Linked DNA regions of Diceros bicornis minor. The protein of the gene in region 1 purifies or fractionates together with the protein of each later gene. This does not show direct contact. Links are inferred from orthologs where the notes say so. Each region holds a gene or a part of one and is shown in the gene's direction. Other genes may lie near its edges. The genes, in order: BOD1L1, CXXC1 and SETD1A.

What was found.
Region 2: the proteins of BOD1L1 (region 1) and CXXC1 purify together in Homo sapiens (affinity purification with mass spectrometry; 5 studies listed by BioGRID and IntAct, counting the BioPlex papers as one, with this or other methods). This does not show direct contact. The link is inferred for Diceros bicornis minor from reciprocal best matches to the Homo sapiens genes BOD1L1 and CXXC1.
Region 3: the proteins of BOD1L1 (region 1) and SETD1A purify together in Homo sapiens (affinity purification with mass spectrometry; 3 studies listed by BioGRID and IntAct, with this or other methods). This does not show direct contact. The link is inferred for Diceros bicornis minor from reciprocal best matches to the Homo sapiens genes BOD1L1 and SETD1A.

What each region holds. Positions count from the first base shown.
Region 1 is NC_080747.1:10,455,582-10,465,918, reverse strand, and holds the start of BOD1L1 (biorientation of chromosomes in cell division protein 1-like 1), read left to right. Parts: upstream 1-5,533; 5' UTR 5,534-5,632; coding exon 5,633-5,869; intron 5,870-5,979; exon of another isoform or gene 5,980-6,191; coding exon of another isoform or gene 6,192-6,308; intron 6,309-10,337. UniProt on the Homo sapiens protein: Component of the fork protection machinery required to protect stalled/damaged replication forks from uncontrolled DNA2-dependent resection.
Region 2 is NC_080755.1:42,776,745-42,786,088, reverse strand, and holds the start of CXXC1 (CXXC-type zinc finger protein 1), read left to right. Parts: upstream 1-4,923; 5' UTR 4,924-5,054; coding exon 5,055-5,057; intron 5,058-5,897; coding exon 5,898-6,016; intron 6,017-6,116; coding exon 6,117-6,217; intron 6,218-6,527; coding exon 6,528-6,763; intron 6,764-6,854; coding exon 6,855-7,031; intron 7,032-7,441; coding exon 7,442-7,468; intron 7,469-7,545; coding exon 7,546-7,791; intron 7,792-7,957; coding exon 7,958-8,065; intron 8,066-8,234; coding exon 8,235-8,419; intron 8,420-8,728; coding exon 8,729-8,936; intron 8,937-9,015; coding exon 9,016-9,126; intron 9,127-9,258; coding exon 9,259-9,308; intron 9,309-9,344. UniProt on the Homo sapiens protein: Transcriptional activator that exhibits a unique DNA binding specificity for CpG unmethylated motifs with a preference for CpGG.
Region 3 is NC_080765.1:21,049,788-21,060,163, reverse strand, and holds the start of SETD1A (histone-lysine N-methyltransferase SETD1A), read left to right. Parts: upstream 1-5,690; 5' UTR 5,691-7,827; exon of another isoform or gene 7,828-7,866; intron 7,867-8,015; exon of another isoform or gene 8,016-8,039; intron 8,040-8,132; exon of another isoform or gene 8,133-8,293; intron 8,294-8,621; 5' UTR 8,622-8,636; coding exon 8,637-8,786; intron 8,787-9,009; coding exon 9,010-9,105; intron 9,106-10,376. Other genes in the region: ORAI3 (protein orai-3), read left to right, coding at 1,055-1,282, 4,201-4,860. UniProt on the Homo sapiens protein: Histone methyltransferase that catalyzes methyl group transfer from S-adenosyl-L-methionine to the epsilon-amino group of 'Lys-4' of histone H3 (H3K4) via a non-processive mechanism.

The sequences.
Region 1 (10,337 bases):
ATAAAAATAATGTGCTTGAAGATTAACTCTTCTAAATGCAAAGCTCCTTTTCATCTTTATAAGCCTATAAAGGAATATCTTTTATTTCCAGCCATCTGCTATGGTGCCATCCCAATTGTCAAAATAGCCAGCAACTCAGTAACATTTAGAGACACTGGCTACTTAACCTCATAATAAATCTTACTTTTGTAAATCTGATTGCTATCGCTACTAGAAGTTTAAATCTTTTTTTAAATTTTTAAAATTTTCCCCCAGTTTGATCAAGATATTATTGATATAACATTAGTTTAAAGTGTACAACATAATGATTTTTCCCAACTTTTTTCCAGTTTTATTGCAAAATAATTAACATACATCATTGTATAAGTTTGAGGTATAGAACATGATAGTTTGATTTACATATATTATGAAATGATTACCGCAATAGGTTCAGCTAACATCTATCTTCTCATATAGATATAATAAAAAGAAAAGAAGGAAAAAAGGGAAAAAATTTCTCCTTGTGATGAGAACTCTTAAGATTTACTCTCTTAACAACTATCCTATGTATCGTACATCAGTGTTAACTATAGTCATCATGTTGTACATTACATCCCTAGTACTGATTTACCTTATAACTGGAAGTTTGTACCTTTTTTTTTTTTCTTTTGTGAGGAAGATCAGCCCTGAGCTAATATCCATGCTAATCCTCCTCTTTTTGCTGAGGAAGGCCGTCTCTGAGCTAACATCTATTGCCAATCCTCCTCCTTTTTTTTCCCCAAAGCCCCAGTAGATAGTTGTATGTCATAGTTGCACATCCTGCTAGTTGCTGTATGTGGGACGCAGCCTCAACATGGCCAGAGAAGCAGTGCGTCGGGGCGCACCCGGGATCCGAACCCAGGCCGCCAGCAGCGGAGCGCGCGCACTTAACCGCTAAGCCACGGGCCTGGCCCCAAGTGACAATTCTTTTAAGTTTTTTCAGGAGAAAAAGCCATCCCCCGTCTTACATTAACATTTTATCATGCTCTGCCCACCACCGTTTCCACCCTCATCAGCTATTTTATACTGCAGTAGAAATAGACGAATAGCTGTGACCATGGAGTTTGCTTTGGAAAGGCAAATGATACATCTTCTCCTCTCCCCTTCCTCTTACAGAAACTGTTAATGGGGTGCTTTGAACCTCGCCTAACAATGTGTTCTGTTATCACTGAAAAAGGGAACTTGCAAGGTTTCTACTTGGCTTTGGGAGAGAAAGTCATTTAGAAAATAACATTCACTAGTCTTTTGATTATGAAAGGCAAGGCCTAGGGCCTGGTTTGGAATGGAGATGCCCTGGAGTGGAGATGCCCTGGGGATGTGAGGGAAAGGAAACAAACAACTCTGCCTAAAAAGCCCCTGGGCTCCCTGGGGATAGGAGATCATCATATCTAAACCGATGCTTAACTTTCACTGGATCAGCCACCAGAAACAAGGTCTGCATTGGATAGGGGTGAATAGGGGGCAGGCTGGACTGTAGAAAAGAGAGGAAATCAGGAGCCAGGTACTTGGGAGGAGTCTGGTGCCCGAGGACACAGATGGCTGCCAGTAATGACCGCCATAATACCCGACCATTGTTCCACTCATTCCTAAAGGTTTTATAAAGTTTGTTTAACCATCACCTTAGCGTCAGACTTGGGAAACCAAATGAGAGCTCAATCATGTTCAGGGAGAAAATTTTTGATCCTTGTTGGGAGACTCTGAATTCAGACGTTCACACAGTGGGTAGCGGAGCACTGGCAGTTTTTTTTGAAGAGCTCATCTCACTCACACCCTCACTATTATCAAATATTATATTACTCTCTCTAAAGAAACAGTCAGAGGACATAACAAAGCAAAGAAGTCATTGGTAGGAAATGATGACTGCATAAAACAGCTTTTTTTTTTTTTTTTTTTTTTAAGATTTAAACGTATGCCATTATCCCCTCAGGTATTCACAATATTCATCCCCAGGACCTGTCTTCAAGTGGAAAGAAAATCACCTTAGAACAGCCAAAGCAGTAGAGATCAGTGACCCTGATTCTTCTCAATGTAACTAGAATGTTTTCCAAGGCTATAAAATTGTTCAAGTTACACTGTATCCACTGTATCCAGAGTAATTTGACCCCATGGATACAAATATTGTTATTTCTTTTAGATTCAGTGTGTTATTCTTTTTTTTTTATGCTTGGTAAGCTTTTATTCATCATTGTAATATTATACAAAATACTAAATATATATTAATAATAACATTTACTGAAACCTAATGGAAAAAAATTCCATCCATGACTGAAGCAAATGATATATTGTGCTTTGGAAATACATTTAAGAATAAACGTGCATATCCTACTAGAAGAAAATGTCATAATAAAACATGAATAATGGGGCAAAATAAAATATCTACAGGTGACAGGAATCAGTGTTCAAAGATGGCAGGTATTACAAAATGATTCTATAATTTTTTTTAAATGTGCCTGAGTGTCTTATATTTTTTTGTTATTTTTTTTAATTTTCAGGTGTACATCATTACACTTCTATTTCTGCATAGATTACACCATGTTCACCACCCAAATACTAATTACAATTCATCATCACACTGTTATTCAATGAGGCAGTTACTATACATTTTATAAAATCAATTGTGAATTATCTATTTAAGTTATAAGCAATTTTCACCTTATTATATTTCAGAAAATATTTAGGATTGTCTATATGCTACCCACAAAACACAAAACTATTTTCTAGTCACTGAACCAATTCATTTTTAGCAACAAATACCTTATTGTTTCATTTTTTTTTAATTTGATCATCATGCTTAATTAAATTTGTGGAGTTTTGCTGAATTTTTATGGATGATTCTTCTTTATTTATTCCCCAAAAACCAGATAAATTTGATACATTTGTATACACCAAAGAATTACCATGCTACACACAATAAATAACTTATACAATTTAGCAACATATTGTATTGCATTGTTGGTAATCAGGTAAACGGAAACATGTCATAGCCTCATCTTGTGTTCATAACTAATTTTGAAAATGGATAAAACAATTATATCTTACACCATTTTAATCTTGATGGCTTTTAGTAATACATTTTTTAAGTTTCACTCCATGACTGTCTCTCTGCAGTCTTCATTATACTCCTCAAAACGCATGACACTTTATTTGAATTGAAACAATGAAGTCCAACTGTTTCTGATGGAAAGTAAATCTGATTTGGCTAGTTTGATGGTGAAAATGGGCTCTGTTAACTAGGTTATATGACAAACATTTTCCATACTTGACAAACAGTTTCAACTTGAATGAGCTGTACCATTAGCTGAAAAGTTTTGACAAAAACGAATTGAACCACCTAATAACAATAAAAATGCATTTTATTCAAAACCATTTATGAAAATGAACAATGTTTAGATTTTTCCCAAACTATTGAGTATGTCAGGTCAAACAGGGTACATCTCATTGGAAAAAACAACAACAACAACAACAACAAAAAAACAGGTCTAATTCAGTCATTTGATGTCTTGATAAAGCCTGTTTGGCATATTTCCCAGAAACTGAAAAAATGAAAATAAAGGACTAGGTTAACAAACCCTTTGACAAGTTAGGTAGTTTTCAATCCTTTGCTCTCCACAAAATTGAAGGAGGGCCTAATTGAATAATCAGCTTACAGATCATCAAATCTAATTTTTTGAGATCAAGAATTGAGTGGCATTACTACATTAAAACTCTGTTCCCAAGTACAGCACTTGTTTATAAGAACACAATTTCTCAGGGCATAGTTATAAAAACTAGAAACAGGAATAGAATTGATACTCAACTCTTCTTGTTCTAGCAATAAGACATATTCATTCAGAGACATATGAATTTTAAAAAGCAATAATATCCATTCCACCAAGAGATGCATTTTCCAGTAAGTTCTACATTCTATTTAATAATTATGAAAATTTGTAATATTTATTTTGCTTTGATCGTGTACTAGTGACATTTTAAAGATAACTCAGTCCAGAATCAGGTGATTTGCTATGTAACCTTCAGCAATATCTTTAATCTCTCTGGGCTTCAGTTTCCTGCTTTGCAAATGGGGGACAGCAGTAGTAGGCCCTAGGTGCAGTGTTGTTCCAATGACTGAATGCGTTAATGCACGTAAAAGCTCTTAACGCCACGCCTGGCACATAGTGTGCGCTGTATGTGTGACCTGTTATTATTGTGGGAGATCAAGATTTGGCCACCCTGAAATATATCTCTTTACCTTGATTGTTTTCTCTGAGGGACATTTGACCTCCCCCAGTAACTGCCTAAAGAATTTGACATAATAACTCCTTCCTGGAACAGATTTTCTATCTGATGGCTGTAATATAATGTAAAATAGATGTTAGAATAGAAAAGGCACCAACAAGCCCATCTTATCAGAAGTTCTGTCTCTCTGGCCACATTCTCTGGATGGCCCTGTGAGGAGCTGCCAGACAAACATTTACATTTATAAGGGAAATCTCCATTTGTAAAGGTATCTCCCTCTCTGTATTGGGAAGAGGGGGGATGACCTCATTTCTAGAAACTTATCAATGTGGAAGGTGAGGCCTTAAATCTGCATGATAACCTTACTCTTGTTTACTGTGCTTTAGCGGTAATCTCCTGTAACTGACTCCCCCGGCCCCCAAAATCCTCCTGTCTTTAGCAAAAGATGATATTTAAGACAAGAATTTCTGCTATTGTGTTGAGAAACGCAGTGTCCCTGGTTTCTCCCATGTTTACATGTTATTAAAATTGGTATTATTTTCTCCTGCTAACCTGTCTTGTTAATTATTTGGCCAGCCATAAGAACCTAAGGGAAAGGGCAGAGGGGGATTCTCCCTCTTTCCCCAACATTATCAAATAGAAAAACCCTTACAACTAAAAACCCATGGGTTTGTGTTCACCGGCAGGAAGAAGGTGCTGGAGGGATGGGGTTCTAGTCAGCAGGCACACTTGGAGAGTAATAACAGATGCCTAAGGAAAAACAGGATGGGGCTGGGAGAAGAGATACAGGAGGCCCCCGAAGCTCCCTGCTTAGAAGAAATCTGGGCAGGATCATAGCCTGAGAACGAAAAGGGTTGGGAGAGCTTAGGATAAGCAGTTCCACGCACGGTTCGCATTCTCAAATCTATGGGTCTCAACTGCTGCGGGAAACAGGAGAGAGCGCGTCAGGCCTAAATGCCACCGTGGATCGAACGGGCCAGCGCCTCCCTCCCCCGCCGGGGCCTGCTCCGAGCAGGCGCCCAGTCGGCCCTCCCGCCAGGGCAGTCGCGCGGGTCGAACGCCCCACCGCCTTGGACTCCAGGCCCCCGCCCCGGCCCAGACCCCGCGGCCCACGGCGCGCTCCGCCTCCTCCCCGTCGCTTCCGACGCAGCCCGGCCGCGCGAGGGCGCCGGCGCCCGGCGGCGGCCGGAAATGGCCCCTCGCGGCTCCCGTCGCCGGACCTTCGTTGCTATTGTCACCTCCTTTTCCTCCCTTCCCCCGGTTCCCTTTCACTTCCGGGGTTGCTCTGGATCCGCTGGTTCCGTAACAACATCCCGTTGGCTTCCCTTAGGCGGCGGGACCTGTGCAGCCGCCGCCTCCCAGGAGCGCCCGCCCGCGCCCTCCCCGGCCCCAGGCCGCCATGGCCACCAACCCGCAGCCGCAGCCGCCTCCTCCGGCGCCGCCGCCTCCCCCGCCGCAGCCGCAGCCGCCGCCGCCACCACCGGGCCCCGGGGCTGGTCCCGGCGCGGGCGGGGCAGGCGGCGCGGGGGCCGGCGGCGGGGACCCGCAGCTCGTGGCCATGATCGTGAACCACCTCAAGAGCCAGGGGCTCTTCGACCAGTTCCGCAGGGACTGCCTGGCCGACGTGGACACCAAGGTTCGGGCGCGCGGGGCTGCGGGTGTGCGGGGGAAGGGGAGGACCCCGAGGGCCGCCTGCTCGAGCGGTCTCCCGCGCCCGTCGATGGGCCGGCTGCGCCTCGACTTCCCGGCCGGGGCCCCTCTCCAGCGCGCCTCTCCCCGAGTCCCCCGTGCAGCCGCTTCCTCTTCGCGCTGCTGCCCTGTGCCCGGCGCTGTGCAAGGCGCGGTGCGTTCATTCATTCGCCTGTGCGCCCGTTCGCTTAACCGACTAGTGGTGAGCACCTACTACGCTGCCGAGGCGCTGGGAACCTACCGCTGAGCAGGACCAAGTCGTTGTTCCCATGGAGACTCGTTTGGAAACACCAACGCTAACGGTGCTTTCATCTCTGATTAGTTTTCTTCCCGGTTTAGTTTGTATCCAAGTTATTTTTGCCTCCTCTCTTGAAGATTTCTGGGCGGTAAGGGTCATGTCTTTATTCTTTGGAGGAATTATTAAGTGATAATTGAGTCAGATTTGCAATGTGCATTTCTGGACATTGTAGGGATGCAAAGGTAGGGAGGCAGAGCTGGACAGTGGCAAGATGGGTTGGGGAGATCCGGGACTTTTGTTTCTACCAGTAACCGCTTCGTTTAGGTAGCTTAGGCCAAGTTACTCCTCTAAAGTGAGAAGGGAGGGAGAGGTGAGGAGTAGAGACAACTGAGCCATGCCGTGGGGGAAAGGATGGAGGAGAGGTGATAGCAGATATTGAAGTGGAGAAAGGACAGGACATGAAATGGAAGAAGAGTGAGTTGAGAGAGTAAGGGAGAGAGGGGAAAGGTCAGCAAAGTGGTTCCCTTCACAAAACGAGTTAGGGACTGGGAAGGGAAAGGGACTTTGTACCAAATGTCAGAGTGAGAGGGATGTTGGCAGAAACAGGTAAACTTAGCTGGTTTGGCAAAGAATGAGCAGAGGACACCAGGAAGAAGCCATCAGGTGAATTGGATGGAAAACCAGTAGGGTCTGGAATTCTGGAAGCAAGTGAAGCAGGAAGCTTCAGGTGGAAACAGTTGGAAAAGTGGGGGTGTTTTTGGTTTAGATCTGGTTGGATCCATGGAATTGGAGTTTTGATGGGGTGAGAGTTTCCTTGTAGCATGTTCGGCTGTTCTGAGGAGACTTGTTTCTTTGGGAAAGGGTTGTTTGCAACATACGCCGATTCTTCCCTGTGACTGTGTTCACCAGGCTTTGAGGTGAACTGCACAAAATCCCGCTGTCTCCTCTGGGAAAGCCCTCCTGACAATCTGGGGACATCTTCCCTTTTAAGGACTCTGGCCCACCATGTAGAACAGAAGTAAAATTTGCCTTTTCAGCATGTTGGAGTTTTTGCACACGGAGAATTCATTTTACATGGGGATGTTGATCTGTGTAGGAAGTATATAGTTTTCTCACTTTGTTTTAGAGAATATGCACAGCTACCTTTTTGAAAATAACTTTTGGAAAATAAAGAGGCTTGTTGCCTCTTTCTTTTTTTTTTAATGGAAGATTAGATTAGATGTGGCCAGGTAAATATTACCCAAATACACCTGGTTATTTGTATCGGGCAAGTAAAGATTTCATTTTGCTGTTCTCAGAAACCTACAGATCTCTGTTATCACTGTATATGCAAATTGAAAATTTAAATATACTGATGGGGGTGCTGCAGTATCTAAGGTTCAACTTTTTCTTCATCCCCATCCCCACTAAATGTTGTTGTTGTGTGCCAGATCCTCTCAAGGTGGAGCCTTCGAACCTTTCTTGGGAGGAAGGAGGGAAGCACAATTGCTTTGACAATCTGATGAAAGCTAGGACCTTCTCCCAAGAAGAATGCACATATACACATTAAAATGCTGTTTTTATAATTCAAAAATGGTCAACTATAGGCAATTTCATGTGATTCAACCTTATAGTTTCAGGGAATTCAGGGACCGCAGAATAAAGATTCCTTGTTTTAATGTTTGAGGCTAGAGAAGAACAGAACTGAAAGGATACCCCCACCCTGACAGAAGGGGGTGCCTGGGTATGGTTGAGATTGAAGTTCTCTCCTCACTCTTCATGTGTGCTCGCTCTCTCTCTCTCTCTCTCTCTCTCTGTCTCCGTCTCTCTCTCTGTCTCTCTGTCTCTCTCTCGTCTTTCTACCTCTGCACCTGTTGTTTCTGATTTTCTTGCTTCTTTCCCCGTTGACTATCTCCTTTTTCCTCCTCCTTCTCCTCCTGCTTTTCGTCCTCTTAGCTAGCAATTACGTAGATTTCAGTTTAAAATATTTGCTTTTGTTGAGTAGTGCTTTATACTCCTTTTCCTTATCTAAAAAAAAAGAGTAAGTTTGAGAGTCTCAAGAAACATACAAAAACCAAAGTTTTTTTTCATATAAGCTTAACATTCCTATCATTGTGATGAGTGGGCCAGAGTAGAAATAAGATTTCCTATTTGTGCACAGGAGCATCACTTTAATGGAATCCTTGGGTGTCAGCTCTTAAGAACACCTTACAGTTTAGACCTTTTGTGGTATGGTGCTTTTGATAATTGAACCCTGAAGACTGACTTGCTTTATGTCAAACTCTGACCTGTAGTATATAGTATACAGGGTTGTGGCAGTAACTGGATTGTCAGTTATGTGCATATTTAAGAAATGAGACATTTAATACCTATCAGGTTCTTTCCAAGAATAAAACTATCATCCAGTCCAGTGTGTTTAAAGCAAGATGAGAAGCACCAAAGTCTTCCACCACTCCAGGAGACATAGAACCCCCGAACTGTTATGGGGTCATTGATGGTCCATAACCAACCAAGAGAGATCCTATGGTAGCAGACCAATTCAGCCTTTCTACCCAAAGAGTTGGAACCTTGGGCAGCCCCAAGATCCACCTAATGCTGAGGCTCCTCTGCTCTAGACTACCAGTTCCCAGATGCGTGGAGCAAGCCGAGAGGTTACAAAGCCATTCTGATGCCTTTGCACTGATTAGCAACCGGAGAGTGAGGAGGGAAGATGAAGAGAGGCCCATTATTCTGTCCTAGGCAGGGAGCTCACCTTCCAAGTAAATATGGCACCTCTCTCCTCATGTAATAAAGGCCAATTTTTGGATACTTTCTCAGTTAAAAATGGCTCCTAGTCACTGTAATTATTGTCCTTTTTTCTCATTTTAGATTCAAAAGGAATATCAAAGACAGAGGTATATAACTTTATTCACCCAACAAATATGTATTCTGTACCAGGCACTGTTTTAGGTGCCAGGGAAACAGCAGTGAACAAAAAGTCCCTGGGTGTTGTGGCGCTTGCATCCCAGCGGAGACAAAGAGACAATAAATAATGTGTGATACGACCCTTGGAAGAAATAAAGCAGGATGAGGGTGGAAAGGATTGCTGACTTGTTTTGAGTAAGTTGTTCAGGAAAGATTTCAATAAGGTGATATTTGAGGCATCACTGAAGGAACTGAAGGAGCCAGGCAACTCTCTGGGGCTGAGCATTCCCAGTAGAGACCACAGCAAGTGCAGAAGGCCTAAAACAGAGCCAGCTAAGGGAGAAAGTGATAGAAGGTGAGATAGGAGTGCCCCTCCTTCCCTCCCTTCACAGATCTGGCAGGCCTTGGAAGCCGTTGTAAGAGTTTGGCTTTTACTTGAGCTGAGAAGCCATTGGCAGGTGTTGAGCGTAAGAAGGACATGATCTGACTTCCATTTTAGATGCATTGACCATGTGTAATTATTAGTAGTGTCCCCTTCTCGCTCAGTCATGATCTGGTTTGGACAATAAAATTATCTGATTACTCTAATTTTAGAAGCGTTACACTTGCTGCTCTATGGAAAATAGACTTCAAGTGGGCAAGGGTAGGAGCGTGGAGATCAGATACTGAATCTAGACAGGAGAGGAGAATGCCTTGGACCTGAGTGGTAGCAGTAAAGGTGATGGGAAGTAGTCAGATTCTGGATGTATTTTGATGCTGGTGCTGACAGAATTTGATAATGGTTTGGATATGGGGTGGAAGAGAAAGGGAGAGTCAAGGATGATTCCAAGGCTTTTGACCAGAGCACTAGAAAAGGAAGAAGAGATATGTAGATAGCTAATGGAATCCAAAATATTTCTCTAGTCACTAGGCTTTTTACTGAAAGGAGAACTTGGAAACAAGGAAAATTATCTGTTGTGGTTCAAATTGGAGCTTGTTGTGGGTTGACTAGAGTGCTAAATGCATTGTGGTGTTTAAGCCTAATGTTTCTGAGATTTGGGAATCCTGGAAAGAAGGATTATGTTTTAGAATCATTGGGGAGAAAGAATTAGTTTTCGTTCACATTGATTTTGGATAAATGGAGAGGAACATGAGAAATGATCGTGAGACTGATTCTTACAGGATAGAAAATAGGGATCAGCAAAAGTCTGGACGTTGGAAGAAATGAGCAGGCATCACACACTGTGTTGGAGATAGTTACCCAGTCATCTTATCTAACGACTACTTTTTAATTGTTTATCTGCCAAGCAGTGTG
Region 2 (9,344 bases), on another chromosome or scaffold:
GATCTGAGCAGTGCCATCTTGATTGGCAGCTTGATTCCAGTCGATCTCATCAGAGAATATTCCCTTACCATGGGCGTCTACATGAGTGACCAGATGGTCTGATCAACAGCAGGTAGTTCACAGCCCCAAAGAAGAGTGTCTTACTCTGTCAGTCTGTACTCTTAAATGGGAGACCAAATAGCCTAAGAGTCAGTAAAAAAAACAACAGGTTCATGAAGTGGAGTGTTGGCTGGGGCTATGAAAATGGCTTTTGAATTCTTCCCACGGAGCACAGAGACTACACCTGCTTTTGATTCTGGGTAGCTGACAGTGAGATTTAACAGTGGTAGCAGAGTAGCTGCCACCCTTCCATCTAAAGCCAAGATGACCAGAGGGTTAGGTCAACTGCACTCAACAAGCCCTGTCTAGTGAGCCACATCCTATCTGGGAAAGAGATAGCAGTCTTTTCTTCACTCCAGAGAGAGTGAGCAGTGTGAGCACATAAATCCAAAAAACTTAGCATTAGGCCCCTAAATTTGGGGTGGGGGGGCGGTTATCAGCCTCCTGTGGGCAGAGGTATGATAATGCCTTGGGTCACTGACACTAAGGCTTTGACTTGCCAACCAACAGGTTATTATCTATTTAGTGAAAGCTTTGGAATCAGGATAGAAGCACTCGCACTAAATCCTGACCCACCCACTGGTGGCAAGGGCAGGGGAATTTGTCCCATAACACTTTCTACCTGTAGCTCTGTCCTAAAGGGGAGAATCTCCCCTGGAAGTTTATGAGCATTTATAGTACAAGCATATAACACATCAATTTCATTACACATTTGGCAGAGGAAGTTATAACAACAGTAGATTAATTGGCCAGAGGCCTCACCCATATGGTCTCTTTAATGGTCTCTTTTTTTCCTTTTCACTGTGAGTTTTGCCGGAACTCTATCAGGAAATCATGTTACCTTATGGCTGGGAACTTCAGGAGTGCTGGAGGGCAGTGGAGGCCAGGCAGCAGAGGTTGGCCAGCACAGCTGAGGAGCCTTTTTCATCCTTTGGCTCCTTGCCCACAGGATGTCTTTTCCTCCCCTGTGCTTGTCTTCCTTGGTTTGGGAGGAGTCCAGGGCATTCTACCAAGGCTCAGTTAGAAGGCAATAAAGCTTTGCCTACTTGGCCTTTGTGGAGATATATAAGGTCATCAGGGTTCCATGGTATAACTAGTCCCCTGCAATATTGCAAATATTAAACCAATTTTGCATTCTTGGGATCGTTATTCTTGGTATAAATACACTTGCTCATGGTGTATTATCCTTTTTATAAATTGCTGGATTCAATTTGCTAATATTTTGTTATGACTTTTGCATCTGTGTAGTAAAGAATTTAACCCTGTCCAAAGAGAGACCTGGCCTTTGCCCTCCTCGGCTTCTGGCTTCTGGGAGGTAATCTCTAAACCCTTTAATGTCACACCCGACAGGAGTATCTTTGTTTGCCTGGAGGTCTCTTGGTCACTGGATAGTCTAATAAGGTGATTTAAGGTGAGGGATTTGGGTCACATGGTATCAACTCAACCTCCTGAGGGCCTAGAAACTGAGTTCTGGCACACAGGCAGTCAATGGTGCCTATGTAATGGAACACCAATAAAGACTCTAGACATCAAGGCTCAGGTGAGCTTCCCCGGTTGACAATTCTCCATGCATATTGTCACATATCATCACTGGGAGCAGCTAACTCTGTCCATGAATCCTCTGGGAGAGGATAACTGGAAGCTCTGAATTTAGAACCCTCCTGGACTCTGTCTTACTGCTGATTTTAATCTGTATCCTCTCCCTGTGATAACTGTGAGTATAACAGCTTTCAGTGAGTCCTTCTAGCAAGTTAGTTGGGGACCCCCAAACTGGCAATTGGTGTCAGAAGTAGGTATGATCTCCTTACTCTTAAACTTAAACTTAAACCCTTAAATTCTGCAGTGGCCTCAGAAGTAAAGATGGTCTCTTGGAAACTGTTCCTCAAACTTTGCAGGATCTATGCTCATGGGGTATATTGGTCTGTCATTTTCTTTTCTTGTAATGTCTTTGTCTGTTTTGGTATCAGGGAAATGATTCCCAAAATGAATTGGGAAGTATTCCTTCCTCCTCTATTTCCTCAAAGACTTTGCATAGGATTGCTCTTTTTTCCTCCTTAAATATTTGAATTTACTATCAAAACTATTTGGGGGCCGGCCCCCTGGCTTAGGGGTTAAGTGCGCGTGCTCCGATGCTGGTGGCCCGTGTTCGGATCCCAGGCACGCACCGACACACCGCTTGTCCGGCCATGCTGAGGCTGTGTTCCACATACAGCAACTAGAAGGATGTGCAGCTATGACATACAACTATCTACTAGGGCTTTGGGGGAAAAAAATAAAATAAATAAAATTAAAAAAAAAACTATTTGGGCTTCGAGTTTTCTTTGTGGGAAGGTTTTTAATTAGAAATTGAAATAATTTCATAGTGATATGGCTAGTCAAATTTTCCATTTCTTCATGTGTTAGTTTTGGTAAGCTGCCTTTTTCAAGGAATTTGTCTATTTTATCTAAGTAGTCAAATAAATTGTATTAGGTTAGTATAAATGTGTGAATAATAGTCTCTTTTTAATATCTGTAAGATCTGTACTGATGGCTCTTTTTTCACTCATGATGTGGGTAATTTATGTTTTCTCATTGTTTTTTCCTAATTAAATAAATCATATTTAATTTAATAAATTATATTTCAAAATATAGTAATTGAATATAAATTTAGTTAAATCAATTTAATTAATTACATGACTATAAAATTTAGTTTAGTGAATTTGAATTAAAATTTAAATGTGGCAAATTAAATTGAATGAATTAAACTAAATCATATTAAATAAAATGTAATATAATAAATTAAAATTAAAAGATACACAATGACATCAGGGTTGAATAAATTAAATATTAAATTATTTAAACCAAATTACATTTAATAAGTCAAAATTCAATTATGTTAAATTAAATTTGAGTAATTAAATTTAAGTTAAACTTGAGCTATATTCCCTCAAACTTATTTTCATACACTCAATGTTAATTAAATTAAAATTGAATTATATAAAATTCATTAATTGATGTGAAAATAAATTTATCTAAGTACCTTACTAACACATAAAAATTTGATTATACTAGAGTTAATTTAACACATTAAATGAAAAACTAAATTTAAAGAATTAAATTATGTTAATTAAAATAAATTACAATCAAATTAAGATTAATTCGAAATTAATTGATAAATAAAAATGAGAAGTCATGCTGGATCTGAAGGTCTCTGTTTTCTGGATTAAAAACCCCTTTTAAGAGGAGAAGATCACAGAACCTTTGTTGCTGCCCATGTGTCTTGACGTCTGTGATGGTGTGGAAGGGATGGGAAAGAAAAATGTTTAGGAAAGGTGAGGAAAAAAAATCGGACCTCCTAAGCCACGAGCAGCAAAATCATCAGTAACAAATAAGTTGCTACAGTGTCCAGAACCAAGAAATCTAGAAAAACTGTTAGCCACGGGTGAAACATCTCATTCTCCCCAGAATCCTCTCCTCAACCCAAAATAAATACAGTCGTTCTCACTTTGAACATGGACATGTGGACATTTACTATGACCATGATTCCCATATCTAGGAAATAAGTGTTGCATATAAAATAAGTGCACATAAAATAACGCTAACATGTATCTCATTTGACCTCCATGGTCGCCCAGGTTAGATCATTATCCTGCAGAGATATCTAGCTCTCTGACCTGTACAGACTTTTTTTTTTTTGCTGAGGAAGATTCCCCCTTAGCTAACATCAGCTGCAAATCTTCCTCCTTTTTTTTTTTTGTATGTGAGCAGCAGCCCCAGCATGGCACTGACAGACAAATGGTGTATGTCCTGGCCTGAGAACTGAACCCTGGCCACTGATGGGGAGCATGTGGAACTTAACCACTAAGCCACCCAGGCTCTCCCCTCCCCGACTTTTTTTATTGTACACAATTTAAGTTCTTTAAAATAATTTTAAATTAACTTTATTGGAGAGAATATTGAATACTGAATTTGTATGAAACAAGAGAACCAAACTGGACATCACCAGGAACAAGACAAATCTACACTCTGCTGGTGGCAGGATCAGGGGAGAGGTTGGTGAAGACGATTGTCCCTGATTTCAAAATCTACTTTGTTCTGGCCACTTCTCTCACCAGAGGTGATCAGGCCACGATCGCGTCTGGCCTTCTTTCGTCGCTCGGGACTAATTCTGAGGGATGAGAGTGTTCCTGCAAAGGCCCAGAGGCTGAACCGTGCTAGGCCTGGCTGAGCAACTGCAAGGAGAGTGGGAAAGAGTGGCGGGAGGTGGTGTCGGAGATCTAACAGGTGGACTGGTTTCCTTCGCAGCGCAAGGCACACAGTCTTCTGGCGCCCCATTAATACATGTGGAAGGGAAAAGTGATTGAATAGCGGAATGAATACGACTTGATCGAGATAGTATTTCGGGATCGGTCGCTTTCCCTGTGAACTGGGCAGTGCAAGCTGCCGGCGTACGGAATCAACCACCAAGATGGCGGGGCCCTCGAGGAAGCCACGATTAGGACGCTGCCATGTATTGCCTCTGACCGTACAGACTAGGCCATTTTACGGAACCAGATTCCAAGATGGCGGCGTCCTCGTAGAATTCGCGTTGGCGCGGCCATATTGCCTGTAACGTCCGGGCCGTAAAGCAGTCACCGTACGGACTCTACCGACAAGGTGGCGGCGCCCTTGGGAAAGCAGCGTTATAGGCGCGGCCATGTTTCCTGCGAATGTATGGACTCGGATGCCATACAGTATCAGTAGTCAAGATGGCGGCGCCTGAGGGACAGGCGGGGCTCTAGGAGGGGGACCTACTTGTTTGTCGTTGAAGCCGACGCACCGGGCCTGCGCAATAGGAGTACGGTGCCCGGGAGGCGCGACCAGAGGCGGAAGTAGCTGTGGGCGCCTTTGCAACGGCTGCGGACGCTGCCCAGTAGTCTGTGTGGGTTCGCGGGTCGCTGGCGGGGGTCGCGAGGCGGTGCCCCGGGAGCTGAGAGATGGTGAGTACGGGTCCGGGGAGGGGGTCGGCAGTAGAGGTCAGTCGGGTTGGTAATGGTGGGGTCCGTCGGCAGACTCACGGGGGTCTGTGGGGAACCGTAACAGGAGTCTGTGGGCAGAATGGTGCGGCCTGTGGTGAGCCTCAGCAGGGGTCTGTGGGTAGTATGATGGGGGACTGATGGCCTGATTTTTTTTCTGCTGTGTGAGTTTTGTGGGAGTCTGGGAGTTCTGTGATGAGCCATGTGGGGATCCGGAATGGAAGTTTAGTGGGGATCCCTGATTGTAGTTCCGGGGGGCCCCAGATGGGGCTTCTTTAGGCAAAGTGATAAGGGGTTTGCGACGAGCCGTATTGGGCACTCAGTAGTGAGCCATGATGAGTGTATTAGGGGATCCGTAGGGAACCGGGATGGGGGCAGGGTTGTCAGTGGGGTTAATAACGGGAGATCTGTGGAGAGCTGTGTTGGGAAGTGAGTAAATCACGTTGGTGTCTGACAACCTGTGGTGGGGTCTGTGAGGAGCCATTTTGGGGGCAATATGTGGTGAGTGGTAGAGTGTAATGAGCCCTTATGAGTGTGTGGATAGAGTGATGGGGTGTTAGCCGGCTAAGTAATGGGAGATCTGGGGCAGAGTGATGGCGTTTATTAGCAGAGTAACGGGGTGTCAGGGGTGAGTGGTGGGGGAGGTCTGTGGAGACCGTGATGGAGAGGTTTGTGAGGAGCTATGATAGGAGGTCTGTTGGCAGAGTGTTGGGGTCTGTGGTGCGCCATGGCGGAGCTGTAATGGAGGAATGAGACACTATGATGGGCGTTCTCTAAGGAGCCATAATGGGGGACTTCCCACAGGAGGGGGATGGTTCAGACCCAGAGCCTCCAGATGCTGGGGAGGACAGCAAGTCGGAGAATGGGGAGAATGCGCCCATCTACTGCATCTGCCGCAAACCGGACATCAACTGCTTCATGATGTGAGCCGGGGAGAGGTGGGCGGGGCTGACACCTGTCAAGGTTGGGCAAGGCCATAGGTCCGGCCCCTCATATCTCCACCACTCGCCCCATCCTCTGCAGCGGGTGTGACAACTGCAATGAGTGGTTCCATGGGGACTGCATCCGGATCACTGAGAAGATGGCCAAGGCCATCCGCGAGTGGTACTGTCGGGAGTGCCGAGGTGAGGGGGGTGGAAAGGACAGGGCAGGCAAGTGGGACTTCCAGGGAGAAGGAGGAGCCATAATGGGAGGGTGGGTCGTGGGGAGTAGTGATATATGTTCTTGGGCAGAGTGAGTGTTGGTCTGTTGTGAGCTAAAGTGAAGGCTCCATTGTGAGCCATAATGGAGGGTCCCACCAGAGGGGGCAGTTCTGCCCTGGACTAGGGGGACAGAGCAGGTGGGTGGGACAGAAAAGGAGAGAAGAGGAAGAAGAGTTCTGGGACCATCGAAATCCTCCAATGTCACCCCCCGGCTCCCCGCTCTGCTCCATAGAGAAAGACCCCAAGCTGGAGATCCGCTATCGGCACAAGAAGTCACGCGAGCGGGACAGCAATGAGCGAGACGGCAGTGAGCCCCGGGATGAGGGTGGAGGGCGCAAGAGGCCTGCCCCGGATCCGGACCTGCAGCGCCGGGCGGGGTCAGGGACAGGGGTTGGGGCCATGCTTGCTCGGGGCTCTGCTTCGCCCCACAAATCATCTCCACAGCCCTTGGTGGCCACACCCAGCCAGGTGAGTGGCTGCAGTGGCTGGGATAGATAAGGTGATCCCACCTCAGGTCCTACTTGAGTTCCTGATTTCTGTTCTGGGTCCCTCCCCCCAGCATCACCAGCAGCAACAGCAAATCAAACGGTCAGCCCGCATGTGTGGTGAGTGCGAGGCCTGCCGGCGCACTGAGGACTGTGGCCACTGCGACTTCTGCCGGGACATGAAGAAATTTGGGGGCCCCAACAAGATCCGGCAGAAGTGCCGGCTGCGTCAGTGCCAGCTACGGGCCCGGGTGAGCCTGGGTGGAGTTGGGCAGGGTCAGGTGGGGTGGAGGGGGCCAGTGTGTCCAGGAAGAGCTAAAATGGGTGGGCCGGGTGGGGTGGGGCCTAATTGCATACAGACAGGTGGGAAGGAGCCTGGCCTGTCCAGATGAATGGGGCCTGACCAGGTGTGCTGGGCCAGCAGGGGAGCCCCCCAAACCCAGGTGGGCAAGATAGGGCCAGATGTTTCTAGGTGATCAGACATGTCAGGGCAGGGAGGGCAGGGCTGAGCATGTCCTGGTGATGAGGGGAGAAGGGGCAGGTGTGTCTGGGGAAGCAAGGCAGGGCTAGTTGGTGGGGCCAAGCACTTGTGGGAGGGGCTAGGGCAGGGCCACCCTCCATCTACCTGGGGCTGACCTGGGCCTTCCTCCTGCCGGCACAGGAATCGTACAAGTACTTCCCTTCTTCGGTGAGTCCAGCCTCCCAGAGCGGGGCAGGGCATGTGGGCAGGGCAGTCAGGGCCAGTCCTGAGATTCTGCCCTGCAGCTCTCGCCAGTGACACCCTCAGAGTCCCTGCCAAGGCCTCGTCGGCCACTGCCCACACAGCAGCAGCCACAGCCATCACAGAAACCAGGGCGCATCCGTGAGGATGAGGGGGCAGTGGCATCAGCAGCAGTCAAGGAGCCACCTGAGGCTACGGCCACGCCTGAGCCACTCTCAGATGAAGACCTACCACTGGACCCTGACCTATACCAGGACTTCTGTGCAGGGGCCTTTGATGACCATGGCCTGGTGAGCAGGCAGGGTCCCGTGGTGGAAGGGTAGAGGTTACAGAAGTAGAGAGTATCCATAATGAGAAGAGAGAAGGCAGAGGATGTGGAAGGCTGATTTGGGAACTAAATAGTTGGTGGGGTAGTCATGGGTGGTACAGATGGGCCAGTGTCTGCCTCACCTGCAGCCCTGGATGAGCGACACAGAGGAGTCCCCATTCCTGGATCCCGCACTGCGGAAGAGGGCAGTGAAAGTGAAGCATGTGAAGCGTCGGGAGAAGAAGTCTGAGAAGAAGGTGATGGAGAGGGTGAAATGGGTGTGGGAAGGCAGAGGGTAGGGTGGGGAGGGAGAGGCAAAGGCTAGGGGCCGCATGGGGCAAGAGCCAGGAAGGGGTGGAATGCAGGGGGAGATGGGTCTGGGGCAGACTTCAACTCCACCCTGACCTGAACTGCCTTGTCCCATAGAAAGAGGAGAGATACAAGCGGCATCGGCAAAAGCAGAAGCACAAGGACAAATGGAAACACCCGGAGCGTGCTGATGCCAAGGACCCTGCATCGCTACCGCAGTGCCTGGGGCCTGGCTGTGTGCGCCCTGCCCAGCCTGGCTCCAAGTATTGTTCAGACGACTGTGGCATGAAGCTGGCAGCCAAGTGAGTCATTCCTGGGGGGTTCAAGGGACACAGGGAGTACGGGGTAGGGCATGACCAGAGCCTTCTGTATGTCTGCCAGTCACCTGTCCCATTTAGTCAACTAGGCACCCACTTATCCATTCACTCACTCATCCATCTATCTGTTCACCCTTCCATCCACCATTCAGCTCATCCATCTACCACTCAGTCAGCTATCTACTTATCCTTTCACCATTTAGTCACCTATCCATTCTGCCATCCTTGGGTTATCCCACTTACTCATCTTGTTGTTTGCCACCTGCCCACACCCAACCCACTGCCTCCCTGCAGCCGCATCTACGAGATCCTCCCCCAGCGCATCCAGCAGTGGCAGCAGAGCCCCTGCATTGCTGAGGAGCACGGCAAGAAGCTGCTTGAACGTATTCGCCGTGAGCAGCAGAGTGCCCGAACCCGCCTTCAGGAAATGGAGCGCCGATTCCATGAGCTTGAGGCCATCATTCTGCGTGCCAAGCAGCAGGCTGTGCGCGAGGACGAGGAGGTAAGCAAGCACAGGCACAGCAGTGCAGGGCCCAGCACCTGGTCCTGCCCATCCTCATTGTTCCTTCTACCCCATGCAGAGCAATGAGGGTGACAGTGATGACACGGACCTGCAGATCTTTTGCGTCTCCTGTGGGCATCCCATCAACCCACGTGTTGCCTTGCGCCACATGGAGCGCTGCTATGCCAAGGTCAGGTGTTAGCCTGAGGGGTAGGGGACCCTCAGTGGGCCCATGGGCGGTCAGATGTGTCTTCTGGGTCTTGTCTTGGGAGGGCATGCAGCACACATCCACAGTTCCCTCCACTTGTGCTCATCCCTCCAGTATGAGAGCCAGACGTCCTTTGGGTCCATGTACCCCACACGCATTGAGGGGTGAGTGTGGGCGCCACGTGGAATTAGAGGAGGGAG
Region 3 (10,376 bases), on another chromosome or scaffold:
AACAGACTCACTTGGCCCTCCCCTTGCCCCTTCCTCCAGTGAGGGAGTGGGGTTTGGGGAGCCAGGGGGAGGAGTCGGGGCCTGGTCCCGTCCCTCAGCCCAGGCCTCCCCGGGGAGCCGGGTTGTACCATGTAGGGGAGGGGTGATCTTTCCACATACCTCAGGTAACAGGGAGGTGCGCGGGTAGGGGGGAGGGACTGGGCGGACCAAAGGCCGGAGGGGAGGGGGTCCTGGGGATCGCGAAAGGCTTGAGGATGGGGCCGCTTAGGGGAGAGGGAGGAGGCAGCCCTGCGGGGGATAAGTGGGGGACCCAGCCGGGCTGGGCCCCTGGGCCCCGGGTCTGTACAATACGGTTTGCTATAAAACTCAAAATCTTCTAGCCGGGGCCGCCGAGTTCGTGTGTCTTTCTGCGGCGTTGGGGGCGGGCGGCGGGGGGCGGTAGGGCGGAGATGACCGGAGTGCTCACCTTTCGGGGCTCTCGGAGGAGGGGGCTGTTTGGATGGATCCGGGGGGCTTCGGACCTCCTAGGCTTCTCGGAACTGAGGATACAGGGCCTTCTGCGGTCCCTGCGGATGAATGGGCTCACCTCTGAATTCAGTATTTAGGTGGGGGTTTGGACATCTAGGGGTGTCCAGGTGTACCTCGAATGGTCCAGGGCCCGGGAACTTCCAGTCACTGGCTGGGACTGGGCGTTCATCTCAGCAAGACTCGGGCACCTGGATGAGATCCTGGGTGGACTGGGGTCGCAGGGTCCCTTGGGATCTCTGCGGACGGTCCCTCGGCTCCACCCCATCATGTGGTCGCCCGGCTCCGCCTCCGCCCTAGTTCCTGTTTCGGTCTTTGCTGTACCGTTTCGGCTCCTGGGGTTCTCCGCCAACGCCTGCTCTTCCTGCTCCGCCCTGGCTGCCTTTTCTTGGGCGCCCGCCGCCCGCATCCTCGCTCGCCCCGCCGGGGTATGGGGCCTTTCCCCGGCCTGGGCCGGCCCTGCTGGGGCCCCCGAGGAGACTCGGCCCCACCGTGACCACCCAGCCCGCCTGGTGCTGCGGCCCCGAGAATGAGGGGCGGCAAGGGGGACGCGGGCGAACAGGCCCCGCTGAACCCGGAGGCCGAGAGCCCCGCGGGCTCGGCCACGTACCGAGAGTTCGTGCACCGCGGCTACTTGGACCTCATGGGGGCCAGTCAGCACTCGCTGCGGGCGCTCAGCTGGCGCCGCCTCTACCTCAGCCGGGCCAAGCTCAAAGCCTCCAGCCGCACGTCTGCCCTGCTCTCGGGCTTCGCCATGGTGAGGGGAGGGAAGGGGCGCACAGGGTGGGGGTGAGGCACATGGGGGGCACGGAGCCGTTGGCGAAGTGAACGGATACTCAAGGGAGAGAGGACAGAGGCAAGGAAAAGATGGGGTTCTAAGGTAAAAGAAGAGAACAAACAAGGTCCAAGGGACTATACAAGTCCCTTTTTGGGGAGTGGGGGGTGTGTATTTGTATGTAAGCAGATCTCTAGTAGAATGGGCCATAGGGATAAGCAAGTCACAGAAGTTTCATGGGGGACACAAGTCATGTCATGGGGGTAGACAAATCACCAAAGGGGATAACATATGCAAAGATGGGACAAAGAGGTCCAAAAGGAGCTTAGCCCAGGCAGAAGTGATTACTAGGTCCCCATGAGAGATTCAAAGGGAAATCAGAGCTGGGTGGGGGCTGTATAAACAGGACTAGGGCTGGGGGTGGTCAGAGAGGGTAAGCTGGGCGGAAAGGTCACCCAACTGAAGGTGGGCCCATCTCAAGGAGGGCAGCTAGTACCCAGCAGGCACAAAGAAGGCTTAGCATAGCCCAGGGAGGCTTTGAAAAGAAAGGAAGCGGCTAGGGAAAGAAACTGATTAGGAAGCTGATACATGATTCTTAAGCTGATAAACTGCAGGTGTGGGCGGATGATATCAGCTAATAGTCCCAGCAGAGGCCTCCTAGGAAGTGGGATTGAGGGAGGTCCTAGGGTGAGGAGTAGTCAGCAGGCACGAGTCCTGGCTCCTCCCTGCTTGTGGCCAGCTATGTGACTCTGGACAGGCCTCCACCCCCTTGCAGGCCAGTGGGAAATTGTGAGATCACAGAGGGTGCGCCCTCTGTAGCCTGCCAAGTGCCCACCCCAGGATGAGCTGTGATTCTTGTCATCAAACCCTAGATCCAAGCATGTCAGAGCAAGACACACATCAGAGATGGCTCAGACTACCTGATAATTGGACAGGCATGGAAACCAAGGCACAGAATGGGGCAGTGGCTCTGCCAAGAGCACTCAGCAGATGAAGGATATAGAATGGAATAGGACCCAGGGTCACTGGACTGTTAGTCCAGTGTTTCCCCACCATCATGACAGGAAGAAGGAGAAAGTGGGCTGGAGGGGGGTCCTCATAGGAACAAGCTCCTGCAGGGGTTGGGGGTGGTCCAGATGAGGATAGAGGGATCATAGCACTAGGTGATTTGGTTAGTCCCTCGTCCCTCTCTGTGCCACAGTCTCTGTACTTGAACGATGAGAGAGAAAGTCTCTATCCCTTAGGGTCATCTTAAGTCTATGGTTTTCTGTGTGGGAGCCCAGGATCCACAGGCCAGCCCACTCTTCCTGATGTGGGGTCATCGAGGGACAGGGAGTTGACTCCCCTTCCCCTGTACAGACTGCAGAGAGAAGGGAACAGCCCCGTGGACCTAGCTGAGGGAGTCCCCCACCCCCATTTACCCCATGGTCCAGCCTGTTCCCAAGGGCACAATCCGGCCTGCTACTGGACTTGCAGGTTGCTGGGGCAACAGCTTAAGGACCAGGACCTTCTCTGCAGGATCAAGAGGCCAGATGAGTAAGTTCTGGGGGCAGGACTGGCCCCAGTCCTGCCAAGGGAGTGCAAGGCTGGGTCAAGCTCTGGGAGAAACCAGGACTAGGCCTGGCCCAGATCCCTGTCTATGGAAACCACCTGCTGACACCCGCCATGGCCCAGTTTCCCAAAATACTCAGCCTTGTCTTCCTACTACCACCCTCCAGGCTCTGCACCTTCCTTCTCCCAGGCCCAGAGCAATCGAATGGATCCTGCAAGAACCAGGCGTGGGGAAAGATCCAGGTGGCTTAGGTTAGAATAACACTATATAAGTTGTATTGAACTGTCACTAAGTACCAGGCATTGTACTTAGGGCTTTTATGTACATCATCTTTCTATTATCTTATGAAGTAGGAACCTCTACTATGGCCATTTTACAGATGAGAAAACTGAGGATCAGAGATGTTAAGACACCTGCCCAGGGTCCCACAGCAAGGAGGTGGCAGGATTTGAACTTGGCTCTAGAGTCCAAATTTATACAAGCCTAGAACAGGATCATCAACTTAAATGTTTGCAAAGGCCAGGCAGGTAATATGGACAGCAAGTTGGCTGGGTGGGGCCTGTGGCTATCAAGAGACCCCATGGCCTGTTCAAAGGGAGCAGCCATGACAACTCTAGCTGATAGTTGCCATGCAGGAATGTGGGCCTGGTGTAACCAGATCTTGCAAATTTTCAAGAGGATCTGGAAATAGGCATATTTATATGAAATCTCTTGAGTTTTAAAAGTTGGCAACTTAATTCTTTAAAAAACACACTGCATGAGCCAAGCAAAACATGTCTGTAAGCTGGCTTGGGTTCACGGTGTGCCAGTGTGCAAACTCTGGCCTTGGACTTTCAGAGTCCACTCTAAATAATAACAGCAAACGGTGCTTGCTATGTGCCTTGTGCTATTCTTATCACTTGATGTATATTATCTCATTTAATTTTCACAACAACCCTATAAGGCAGGTAGATGCTATTATCAGTCCCCATTTTTCAGATGAGGAAATTGAGGCACAGAGACAACTAAGTCACTTGCTCAGGATTACATAGCTTGTGGAGCTGAGAATGAACCCAGGCAGCCCAGCCCCAGAATCTGTGCTTTTTAACCCCTGTGTTATAACAAGGTAAGATTGTCAGAAATGTCATCCAGCCCTCTTGATAGCCTAGTGTGGAAACCAAGGCCCAGAACAGGACAGAGCCTTGGCAGTGCTGCCCATTCACTCGCTCAACAAAGGCTAGGTGCCTTCTTTCTGCCAGGCAGTGTTCTAGGTCCTAGGGATACATCAGTGATGTATACCAACAGGCAAAAACTCCTGTACTGTTGAGGAGGTTATGGGCACTCAATCTATTTCCTCTTGTCCCCACAGGTGGCCATGGTGGAGGTGCAACTGGAGAGCAACCACGACTACCCACCAGGCCTGCTGGTGGCCTTTAGTGCCTGCACCACCGTGCTAGTAGCGGTGCACCTCTTTGCACTCATGGTCTCCACGTGTCTGCTGCCCCACATTGAAGCCGTTAGCAACATCCACAACCTCAACTCTGTCCACCAGTCTCCACACCAGCGACTCCACCGTTACGTGGAGCTGGCCTGGGGCTTCTCCACTGCCTTGGGCACTTTCCTCTTCCTCGCTGAAGTTGTCCTGGTTGGCTGGGTCAAGTTTGTGCCCATTGGGGCCCCCTTGGGCACGCCAGCCCCTGTGGTACCTGCCTCCCAGGTGCCTGGGACTCTGCCATCAGTGACCAGTTCCCTTAGTCCAGCTTCCAAGCCGTCCTCTGCTTCTCTAGCCCCGTCACAGGCTGAGCCATCTGAGGCCTGCCCACCCCGGCAAGTGTGTGGTGGGGGCGGGGCCCATGGACCAGGCTGGCAAGCAGCCATGGCCTCCACGGCAATCATGGTACCTGTAGGGCTTGTGTTCGTGGCCTTCGCCCTGCATTTCTACCGCTCTTTGGTGGCACACAAGACAGACCGCCACAAGCAAGAGCTAGAGGAGCTAAGTCGCCTGCAGGGGGAGCTGCAGGCTGTGTGACGCTGGTGTGAGCCCCAGCTGCAAGCACTGCCTCCCTCAGGGGTCTGCAGACCCCATCCCTGCCCCTGCCTGGAGACACTTCCTGTGGCCACTCTCAGGTAGAGACCAGATTTCTGCTCTCAGGGTCCTTTGGGCTGGGCCTTGGGGCAGCTCCCACATTCCCAGGGATTCTCCATCAGTCGGTCCTATAGGTTTTCTAAGTTCTACTCTACAGCTGGGCTGGGAGGAGGTGGAGGGCCTCAGTCCGAGGCCACTGCGGTAGGCGGAGGGGAGGGCAAGGAGACCCTGGTCAGACCTTTGGTGCTGACCCTTATCCACTCGCCGCTATACAGGATGTGGAGGTCAGAAGGTTACACGCCCACCCAGCTGCCCCAGAAGGCAGCCAACTCTTGCTTTATTTTTGTAGAATCTGTTTTATGGTTGGCATTTCTGGGGAAGTTTTCCCCATCCTCAGATTTTGATGGGTTTTACACTCTTGCTTTAGTTGCTGTAGAGAGAGATTTGGGTGTTTTTACCCCAGGCATAGGTCCAGGAAGAGCCTCCCTATTTTGGGAGGTTCAAGTGCCTGCCCCACTGCCCTAGACCCACACTTACGCTTCTATATCTGGTTCTCACTCTCCTGGACCAGGGCTGGGGGTCTACGTGTCCAGCCTGACTCCCTAGCAGGGGTTGGGGTGAGGAGGTTTTAAGGGAGAAGGTCCAGTCCCTAGTCCTTGAAATACAGAGCTCTTCTGACACTGAATTTTTGATGCACCTTGTTTTGTATAATAAATTGTGTTTCACAGATGTCCCTGTGGCTGTGAATGGGGTGAACGGGAGGCCTCCTTGGGGTCAGGTGACTTGTTCCTTAAGAGTCAGATGGAGGCAAGTGTACCTGGGGGTGGGAGAGAGAGGGTACCAGGTATGACTCCCTTCTGGTGCTGACAGGGACCAGTAGCTTCTGAATGTGGAGACCGCATTACTCTAAGGCTAAAGGCTTTTGCCTCTTGTCCTTGAGCCCAGGATCTTTTATCTCTTCCATTGAGGATTTAATATGTTTCTTTTAGTTTAAGTTTCTTTCTTGAGTGACTACTACTTACTAGGAGCTTTTCATAGGTTATCTTTTTTAACGTACCTAATTTATTTTATTTAACAACCACCTCAAGAGACAAGTCTTTATCATTACCATTTCAGAGATAAGGAAGCTGAGACCCAAGAAGGCTGAGGATTCTGCCCAAAGCCACACAACTAGTCAATGAAAACCTGGACTACCTTTACTGTCACATGAAGTCTGTTTGAGAAAAGGAGCAAATACCTTTCAGCTGGGACAAGAGAAAGGCATCTGATCTCATCACCCATGCTTCCATGCAAATTTATTTTTTCAGCCTCATTTTCTTCAAAATTTTAAAGGGTCCCAATCCTCTCTCTTCTATTCTTATGGTGTGAGATCTTGGGCAAGTCCTCCTTTTTTTCTTTTCCTATTACTTAAAATGGTGAATTTGCATGAACCAGGCTTCAAGGGCCTTTCCTGCACTGTTCTGATGCCTACAATAGACCTGCAGGACAGGAATTAACATTCATTTTCAGAGAAAGAATCTGAAGCTTTGGGAGGTTAATGACTTGCCCAAGGTCACACAGCGAGGGACTGACGCAGAGATGTCTGGAACCCAGGGCATCTTCAGCTCAGGCAGAGGTGCCTCCTGGGAATGCCATTACCTAGAGACCAGGATACCCTGCTTCCAAAACGGAGAAAAAGGGTGCCCAGCATCAGGGCGACTTCAGCCCCAGGGTCCCAGGTGTAAGCCTGGGCTGGTGCTGCCCTCGAGCGGTGGGACCGCGTAAACATAGGGGGCACACGGCTGAAAACGGCGGGCACTGGGACCACGATGCCTGGAGAATCGACCAGCCCACCCTAGTTCCTGTAGGACCTAGTTTATTATTTTTTACAGGACCCGTTCAAGGGTCTTTAGGCCCCATCAAGTTTACCACAGAGCTTTGAGATAGCCTCGGATTTAATCACTAATAGTAGGCCCAGTACGTGCAAAATGCGGTATCTTCTGCGAGGCTCAGTCTCCCCATCTGTCAAATGGGCACCTTAGACAGCTAGAGGCCCAAGGGGGATAACGGGAGGAAAACGCTCCCTGCATTATGTGCAGCGCCGGGCAAACGGCCTGAGTCACCGCTGCTGGTTGTATTTTTCCACCTCCCGGGCGCCCCTCCCAGCCCGCCCCGGTTTCAGTGGGTCCTACAGGAAGCGCCCGCACGACACCGGGCTCCGCACGCTGACCACGCCCTCTGCGCGCTGTGCCTTGGCCCCGCCCACAGAAGAATTCACAAATTCGCTAGGCCGGCTCCTCCTCAGAATTGCTCGGGGCCTTCTATACTCCGCCGAAAAATTCTCATCGGACTCCGAGAGGACCTTTGGGCCGTAGCCATTTCCCCCGGGTCGGAATTGGGCAGTCCTCTGAGTTGTGCTAGTAAGAAAGATCCAGAGAAATTGGCCAACTCTGCCAACAGGGCTTGGCTAACCAGCCGTTATTTTCTTGACTCCATCAACGCGGGTGAAGGGAGGCGACAGCTGAGGCCAGGACTTGTGGCGAATCTGCAGCCTCTTAGACCTTTGGCCGCCCGAGGAAGGGGCCGGAAAGACGAGCAAAGGAGCGCGCATCCTGTCCACCGATTCGCCCCGCCCGCTTGACGAATCTGCGCCTGTTCAACGCGCCAGTCAAATCTCCCCAGCTCTGGCTGGCCTCTTCCCCTCCGCCCCGCCCCCTTTTCCTCAGGGATTAGTCGCTGCTTTCGTCGCCGCCGATTCGTCAAGGACCCCAGTCCAGAGCAGCTGGATAGTCGTGGTGAAGCCCACTCTCCGGGGGATGCGGCCAATCTTCAGGCTCCCTGGGCCGCAACTCGCAAGCCTTATAGGGCACCGGTCGAGGCGAAGCCGCTATCCTCGGCCCCGTGGGTCTCCCGGCGGCACCCGTGGCGAAAGTGCGAATGTAGACGCTGTGCCCGTTGGGCCTCGCGCAGGTGGCGGTGGTGTTTGGTGCGCGCGCCGGGGAGGTGGTGGGGGGGGGGGCGCCGCCGCCGCCACCGCTGCGGGGCCGGGTCTCGCGCTGCCGCCGCCGCCGCCGCCGCCGCCGCCTCGCGCCGCTAAGGTGCCGCGCGGGGTGGGGGGAGGGGGAACCGCTCGCCACGAGCGGGTGAGTGGGGCCGCGCCGCGCGTGCGCGGAGATGGGGGGGGCAGAACGCGCCGGGGCGGGAGGAGAGGGCAGCGGCGCGCGTTCCCTTCACCACCCCCCCGCCCCGATTCGGGGCCGCAGCCGGGTCTCGGGCTCGGTCTCGCGGTGTTTCCAACGCCCCGAAGAGGTGCCACCTCTTGGCCAGAAGATCGGGGCGCGGGGACGAGAGCGGGTGTGTGGGAGCGGGACCCGGGCTTGGCCCGGGCCGCTGGCCGGTGAGGAGGCGGGAGGGGGCGGGGCCTGCCAGGGGGCGGGGGAAGGGTCTTGCGCGGAGGCCAAGTGGGGCGCGCGCTAGGGAGAGCGGGAAGGTAAGGGGGCGCGAGATGGGCTTGGGGGCCTGAGGGGAGAGTTGGGAGGTGGAGAGAGAATGAGGTGTTGTGGGAAACAGGGTACTTGGGGGAAAATCTGGGGGAGCCACGGGTCATGGTGAGGTGTGGAAACTGGGGTGATCAGAGAATCTGGAGTCTGGGCTAGTCGGTAAGGGGCAGCAAGGGAGTCAGGCCTAAGTCTTGAACACCCCTGTGTATTCCTCTTTTCTAACAGTGTAAATGAGCAAAGATGGATCAGGAAGGTGGGGGAGATGGGCAGAAGGCCCCGAGCTTTCAGTGGCGGAACTATAAGCTCATCGTGGATCCTGCCTTGGACCCTGCCTTGCGCAGACCGTCTCAAAAGGTGTACCGCTATGATGGAGTCCACTTCAGTGTCAACGTGAGTGCCCCAGGCCTTTCCTTGCCTTCCAGGGCACTCCAGGCCCCATTCTCCTCTGTTACCTCTGTTCAACACCTAAAACAACCATGCCTATAGCGTGCATTCTTAAAAGTGGGCACCCACAGCTCTTCTCGTTTGCATATGGGTCTCCAGTTGGGCTTCCTAGAGCTCAATAACGTGGTTTCACCATGACCTATCTTTCTGTTCTTGCTTTCCTTCCTAGGACTCAAAGTATATACCAGTCGAAGACCTCCAAGATCCCCGTTGCCATGTCAGGTCCAAAAACAGAGACTTTTCCCTCCCAGTCCCTAAGTTTAAGGTATGTGTCTGCTAGCCTGCTGGTGTCGTGGCCCTTGGAGGGTGTGGAGGATCCATCCTGGCAGTCTAGTCTTAATGTAGCCTAATAAAAGGGAGTTTTCCAATGAAAGGATCACAGCCAGATCTGACTGTCTCTGAGGCTGTGAGACTGACTTGTTCTGGATAGGAGGTATGTTTATCTTCTAGAAGGGTGTAGGGGAGGTCTTCCAAGCAGGGGTATTCACTTCTTGAAGGATGAAGTAAAGACAGGTTTAGCTGCTATACCTATCATTCTGTATTCCTAGACATTGTGTAGCATGGCAGTGCTGTCCCCAGTGTGATACCTCAGTTTCTCAACAATTAAGGGGAGTGACAAGGCCAGGGACTCCATCCTTGGAGTCCTCTGTTCTTCACCCCTCAGTTGGCCATTTGATCCTCTGTCTTGTTTCCTTGCAGGATTCCCATTTCCCTATCTAGGCAAGATACTCATCCAGGCTTTGGACTGGGCCTAGAAAACTGATGGTTCTTAGTTTCCTTCACTAATTCTTTATTATTTTTCCTTTTTTAATAATTCATTTGTGGAGTTCCTTCACTGCTCTTTTTGCACTTTGTACACTCCCCTGGACACCTTCGACTATTACTGAAATGTCGATGGCTTCCAAATCTCTGTTTCCAGCCGAGATCAGTCTCTTGAACTCCAGACTTGTATGACTGGTAGAGGGACGGGTCCATCTGGAGGCCCAACAGACCACTCCAACTCAAGAGATCTAAAACAGATTATCTTTACCTGCTTAATCCTGCTCTCCCTTCCATTTTCCCTTTACTGATGAATGGCAGCGCCATCTACTCAGTTGCACAAGCTAGAAACCTGGGAGTCATTCTATGCTTCTCCTCTCCTTTATCTGTCACCAAATCCTGCTGACTCTTTTTCCTAAACATATCTCTTTTATATTTTCATTTTTCTGTTTTCATTGCCATGTCTTTTTCTGTGAGGAGATCAGCCCTGTGCTAACATCTGCCAATCCTCCTCTTTTTTTTTGCTGAGGAAGACTGGCCCTGGGCTAACATCCATGCCCATCTTCCTCCACTTTATATGTGACGCCACCACAGCATGGCTTGCCAAGCAGTGTGTTGGTGTGTGCCCAGGATCCGAACCGGCAATCCCCGGGCCTCCACAGCGGAGCGCGCACACTTAACTGCTTGCGCCACCGGGTCGGCCCCATCCTTGCCATGTCTTTAACGCAGGCTCTTATATTCACTTCACCTGGTTTCCTTGCCTCCATTCTCTTCTCC